2 linked regions of the Kluyveromyces lactis genome follow. The protein of the gene in region 1 interacts with the protein of each later gene in a pairwise test. Links are inferred from orthologs where the notes say so. Each region holds a gene or a part of one and is shown in the gene's direction. Other genes may lie near its edges. The genes, in order: SHP1 and ARG1.

Region 1 (3,365 bases):
CAATCTATTACCCAAAGACCTGTCAAGGGTATGTTGACCGGTCCAGTCACTTGTTTGAGATGGTCTTTCCCAAGAGATGATGTTGACCAAAAGACTCAAGCTTACCAATTGGCTTTGGCCATCAGAGATGAAGTCTCTGATTTGGAAGCTGCCGGTATTAAGGTCATCCAAGTCGATGAACCAGCCGTCAGAGAAGGTTTGCCATTGAGAGCCGGTCAAGAAAGAACCGAATACTACAACTGGTCTGCTGAATCTTTCAGAGTTGCTACCTCTGTTGTTGCCAACAAGACTCAAATCCACTCTCACTTCTGTTACTCCGATTTGGACCCTAACCATATCAAGGCTTTGGATGCTGATGTCGTTTCTATCGAATTTTCCAAGAAGGACGATCCAAACTACATTCTGCAATTTGCTAACTATCCAAACCACTCTGGTCTAGGTTTGTTCGATATCCACTCTCCAAGAGTTCCATCCAAGGAAGAATTCATTCAAAAGATGGAAGAATTCTTGAAGTACTACCCAGCTGAAAAGTTCTGGGTTAACCCAGACTGTGGTTTGAAGACTAGAGGCTGGGAAGAAACCAAGGCTACCTTGACCAACATGGTTAACGCTGCTAAGCACTTCCGTGAAATCTACGCTAAGAAATAAATAGACTCGTGAGTTTGTAACAACACTCAAGCGTCTTTTTATCTATTATGCATTATTGGATTAAGGAACAGAATAAAAAATCAGCATTAACCAATAACAACTTTTATTTCATTTTAAGTGTCTTTCAATGCTTCAAGTGGTCTATTATTTCCAATGAATTGCTTATTGTAAACTGACACATAATACAAACGAAGATCTTATTTGATATAAGTTCTTCACGGATTCAACATCGGGCTTTACCTTTTACATCTTTTTTTTTTTGGTCTGTTTATTTATCCCATTTCTTCCGATCACATCACATTATTTCATAGACCTTAATGGCGAACTTCATCTTTGCTCATCATTCCAAAGATATTCAATCGTTAAAGGTCCCCAAATTATAAACTGTCATGAGTTATGTTTTTAATAATTAAATAACCTCTTGTATATTATAAACGCATTCAACATTCGTTTCAAAAAAAACATCAAACCACAACATTTCTGCTACAAACATAATATTTCCCCACAGTCTCAGTTACTATCCTGCCTAAGATGTCTGTGTTTATCATGTTACTTTCCTTTTCTTACAGATTCGTTTTAAAGGTTTTTCTATGAAAAGTAATGAACTTTCAAATTAAGACAATTTCATTTAGGTAGAGATGCCATAAGGAAAACTTGCCACTTGTCATGGCAAGATATTGCACTCCATTACGACGATACAATTACAATTGTAACACGATATAGAATCTGAGATACCACATACGATATTTACCATGTCTGACGAACAAATCCAGCAATTTGTCGCATTGACCAACACCTCAGTGAATGTCGCTTCAGATTATTTAAACCAGTTTGGTGACTTGGGAGAAGCATTGAATGCCTTCTATGCTACCCAACAGGATGAGCAAGAGCCTAAAACGAAAGCATCCTTTGAACAGCCGATTCCAAAAGCTGCTAGCCAGGGTGAATTGTCTAACTCCTCGGCGAAAGATGACGTTACATACGCAAGAACCTTGAGTGGCCAAAAGATTGCTTTACCTAGGTCAACACCTTCTCCATCGCAGAAACCCAAGTCTAAGTCTAAATTCCAATCCTTCTCTGATATATTGAAAGGAGGTGATGATGAAGATGAAGATCGGAACACTTTTGCTGGCGGTGAGACTTCAGGACTTGAAATCACCGACCCACACGCTAATGACTCTAATTCTTTAATTAGGGATCTTTTACAAAAGGCACGCAGAGGCGGTGAAAGAGCAGAACAGGAGGAAGAAGAGAATGAGGAAGCAGAAAGTAAGAAACATCATTTTGTTGGTAAAGGTTATAGGCTAGGATCCGATGTTTCTGCTCCACCAACAGTGGTTGAGGATGATACCCCGGTCGTATCAAAACCTAAAAAAGTGACAAGGGAAATTACGTTTTGGAAAGATGGATTCCAAGTCGGTGATGGCAAACTATATCGTTACGACGACCCAGAAAATAGTTTCTATTTGAAAGAACTAAACCAAGGAAGAGCTCCTTTGCAGTTATTGGACGTCGAATTCGGACAAGAGGTCGATGTCACGGTCTATAAAAAGTTGGAAGAGCCTTACGTTCCACCTAAGAGAAAAGTGAGTGGCTTCCAAGGAACAGGTAAGAGATTGGGCTCACCCATTCCTGGTGATGCAGTAAACTCTCAATCAGCATCGCCTGCCGAATCTACTCCAGTAGGGACTGAAATCAAAGAAAAATCGCCAGATGACGAGCTAAAGGGAGACACTAGTGTACAGATCAGATATGCTTCTGGGAAGAGGGAGGTGTTACGTTGTAACTCTACAGATACCATCAGATTCTTGTACCAGCATGTTAAAGCTAACACAGCAGAAATGCGCCCATTTACACTAAGCCATGCATTTCCCGTAAAACCCATTGACGAATTTGACTCCACTTTGAAAGATCAAGACCTATGCAATGCAGTGGTGGTCCAAAGATGGGTATAAATCTTAAATATAGTATAATTTTACAAAGATTATTACATATGTACAAGTTTAAATATACGGAGACAACCTAAATCCTTATATTTTCAGGATAGAGTTGTTTATGCAGTCGATGATTATTCCAACGATTTGAGAGATCGAAGTATCAGTAAAGCTTGAGATCACCAGTAATTTGGTCAAGGACTGCTTTCGGAGCAGGTCCCAAACCTAAAACAGTAGCACTTCCCGCTGCAATTTGTGTTCTACCAGCATCATGAACAACGTATGAGTTAACTCCTAATGCAATAGCCTTAGCGAAGAGCTCATCCATTGTTTCCTTATCTGGACATTTTAAAGTAATCTTTGCTTGACCTCTTGCCAACCATCTGTGAGTCATCTCCGGATTATATGAAGTTCTACTTGGATCACACGCAATAAGCCTAAAACAGGCTAATGCAGCATGACAACATTGAGCAGCGATTTTCCCTTTAGTCATTCCCAAATCTTGCCTGATAACCAAGGCCATCCTTACTTCACCAGGAATGTCATTTAGGCATATGGAATCTACTGCAATGCCATCTTCATCTTCATCTTCATCCTCAGATTCGTCTTCATCCTCGTCCTCATCACCATCGTCATGTTCACTGGCATACGCTTGCTCATCTCGCTCAGCCTTAATCTTCGCTTGTTTCAACAATTCTTGTATCTCATCCTTCCTTGATGGTGTTATCTGTCCAAGATAATATCCAGTTGTCAGAGATAATGCTGACAGCGTGAACAACACTG
Region 2 (3,315 bases), on another chromosome or scaffold:
GTTCGAAGCTATCTACCAAATCACTTACGGTAATGCTTCTATGGAACAAATCCCAGACATGATCGAAGACTTCGAAGGTATCGACTACAACGTCAAGAAGCATTAAACAGGGAAACTGATCCATCTTCTTCCCATCAAATCAATATTTCAATGGCATGCACGGTGGACCCGTTAAACTGTTGATTTATTATCATTTGGAATCTTTTATGTCATAGACAAGACACATAAAAATATCCATCATCACAACACACACTTTAAATTTCAATTCAAAAACCTCAACAAGAGAGAGATCCATGTACACTAGTTCTCAACAGTCAACAAAAGAAAATCGCCTCTCCTACATAATAAATATAAACTATTTCACATTCATACTTGTCCCCCTTATTTATTTCGGTGGGAATGAGTAATCTGTACCATATACTTAACTCACTATAAGAAAGATACAAAGATAGATTCTTACAATTTAATTTATTTCTCTTTCCTTCGCTCCATCTTAGTTACCTAATTTCAAGTTCTCAGCCATATTTACCAAGGAATGGCAAATTCTGGTGAATGAAAGGAGATGGAAGTGGGAAGAGAATCAAGGAAGAAAAGAAAGAAGGAAAAAAAAAAAAAACATCAATCACGTGACTGTCTATCACCGGGTAACAACTCTCGTTTCCTCTTGCACTTAGTGAACACAAACAGCGAAAAATTGCCATTAACAAACAGAAGAATAACTATAGTTATATGGCACAACTTCAGTGCAAGAAACAACAACAGTTGTACCAGTTTTTGTAGCCATTAAACGTGGATTGAATCATCGATCTAGTACGAGCCGTGCCGGACATGTTGATGATTCAAATTAAGCTGGAGAACCTTTAAAATAGATTCAGATTCAAAGAACTTTGACGTTTTTTACAGCATTTGAGTTTTTTCTTTCTCAATCAAGTATATACATTACACACAAACTAAATACAAAGCAGTTCCTCACTCTTTTATGAAGAACAGGTATTCCCAGAGCCTAGGTTTTTGCCCTTGACAAAGGCTACTTCGTTTTACGCTATGGAGTGGCATTTTGTTTGGGTTTTTGCTGAGCTTATCTGGCCTTTGCCGCGATTAGCGGTATATTTTCTGCCCATTAATGTATAGAGTGTAATAATTTCATATGAGTCATTTTTTCACAGTAGAGATCGTACAACATAGAGAGATAAGTGAGTGGTGAAGAGACTAGCACAGAGAGGGCATCAAAGTACGAATGAAATTTTTCCAGTTGAAAAAAAGATATATAAATGAGAAGTGAAAAAATGTGAGAATCTGTTCTACTCTGTTCAGTTCTTGTTTATAACTCCATTTGATTGTGTACTACAGTTTGAAGTATAGATCACACATCACATATCACACACATATCTGGTGGTTTTTAAAAGATACAAAGAGCATTCAAGGAATTTTTAAAAGTAATATAATGTCTAAAGGTAAGGTTTGTTTGGCATACTCCGGTGGTTTGGATACCTCTGTGATTTTGGCCTGGTTGTTAGAACAAGGGTACGAAGTTGTTGCCTTCATGGCCAATGTTGGTCAAGAAGAAGATTTCGAAGCTGCTGAAAAGAAGGCTTTACTAATTGGTGCTACCAAGTTTGTTCTAGTTGACTGCAGAGAAGAATTCGTCAAGGACGTTTTGTTCCCAGCTGTTCAAGTTAACGCGGTATACGAAGACGTTTATCTGTTAGGTACCTCTTTGGCTAGACCTGTTATCGCTAAGGCTCAAATCGACGTCGCTAAGCAAGAAGGTTGTTTCGCTGTTTCTCATGGTTGCACCGGTAAGGGTAACGATCAAATTAGATTCGAATTGGGTTTCTACGCATTGAAACCAGACGTCAAGGTCATTGCCCCATGGAGAGATCCAACTTTCTTCGACAGATTTGCTGGTAGAAAAGATCTATTGGCTTATGCTGCCGAAAAGAACATCCCTGTGTTCCAAACCGCTTCTAAACCATGGTCCACTGATGAGAACTTGGCTCATATCTCCTACGAAGCTGGTATTCTAGAAGATCCAAACCAAACTCCTCCAAACGATATGTGGAAGTTGATCACTGGTCCAGAAGATGCTCCAGATCAACCACAAGATTTGGATATCGTTTTCGAAAAGGGTTTGCCAGTGAAGTTGACTTACAAGGATGCCGCTTCTGGCAAAGAAACTACTGCTACTTCACCATTGGATATCTTCTTGACTTCTGCGAAATTGGCTAGAGCTAACGGTGTTGGTAGAATCGATATCGTTGAAAATCGTTACATCAACTTGAAATCTAGAGGTTGTTACGAACAAGCTCCATTGTCCGTCTTGAGAAGAGCTCACGTTGACTTGGAAGGTTTGACTTTGGACAAAGAAGTCCGTGCCTTGAGAGATCAATTTGTCACTCCAAATTACTCCAGATTGTTGTACAACGGTTCATACTTCACTCCAGAATGTGAATATATCAGATCTATGATCCAACCTTCCCAATCTACAGTTAACGGTACCGTTAGATTGAGACTATACAAGGGTAACATCATTGTGCTAGGCAGATACTCAGAGACTGAGAACCTATACAATCCTGATGAATCTTCTATGGATATATTGACTGGTTTCCAACCAACCGACACTACCGGTTTCATCGCTATTCAAGCGATCAGAGTAAAAAAGTACGGTGAATCCAAGGCTGCCAAGGGTGAAGAACTAACTTTATAAAACTATCATCCAATTTCCCCAGTCACGAACTCTCAATTAAACTTTAGACCCCTAAATTATAAATAATAGAATCTCGTGTTTAATAGTGTACATAACTAATCTTAAAATAATTATTCAATTAACTTACTCCGTGCACTTCAAGTAATGGCATTGAAACTTTATCCCGGGTGATTATTTCAATTTGTTCATTAACCTTCTTCTTAGTTTTCTTCAGTTTTTGGTAGCTTTTTTCACTTGGACCGGCGAAACATGAAAAAGTCTGACTGTAATTAAAAGTGAATGAAAAGGATAACCTTCGCGACATGGCCTTGACATGAATTTTTATCGTGACCCCTAAAGATCTGTTAATCTCACATTAAGAACTTAGGAGTGGCACTTACACCAAGGTATCCTAATACTTACACTACACTGTTTCGCTCACTGGCCAGATCACTCTCAACAATGTCTTACGCTGATAAGGGAGCACCAATTCAGATGCTTTCTGCTAAGAAGTATTTTGAAAATTTGACTCCAAAGGAACAGCACTACGCGCATTTCATGTCCAAAGCTTCCCATGCCGGTACCCGTATTACTGTCAGACAAGTTTCTCCAAATTCCGAAAAGGTATT

What was found.
Region 2: the proteins of SHP1 (region 1) and ARG1 interact in a two-hybrid assay, tested with the Schizosaccharomyces pombe proteins (2 studies listed by BioGRID). The link is inferred for Kluyveromyces lactis from reciprocal best matches to the Schizosaccharomyces pombe genes ubx3 and arg12.

The regions. Positions count from the first base shown.
Region 1 is NC_006041.1:1,783,289-1,786,653, reverse strand, and holds SHP1 (protein phosphatase regulator SHP1), read left to right. Parts: upstream 1-1,400; coding exon 1,401-2,603; downstream 2,604-3,365. Other genes in the region: MET6 (5-methyltetrahydropteroyltriglutamate-homocysteine S-methyltransferase), read left to right, coding at 1-648; PTH2 (aminoacyl-tRNA hydrolase), read right to left, coding at 2,746-3,365. UniProt on the Schizosaccharomyces pombe protein: Involved in CDC48-dependent protein degradation through the ubiquitin/proteasome pathway. Involved in delivery of substrates to the 26S proteasome. Also required for membrane fusion and sporulation.
Region 2 is NC_006039.1:366,183-369,497, forward strand, and holds ARG1 (argininosuccinate synthase), read left to right. Parts: upstream 1-1,444; coding exon 1,445-2,707; downstream 2,708-3,315. Other genes in the region: KLLA0_C04004g (glycerol-3-phosphate dehydrogenase family protein), read left to right, coding at 1-106; KLLA0_C04059g (dipeptidyl-peptidase III), read left to right, coding at 3,149-3,315.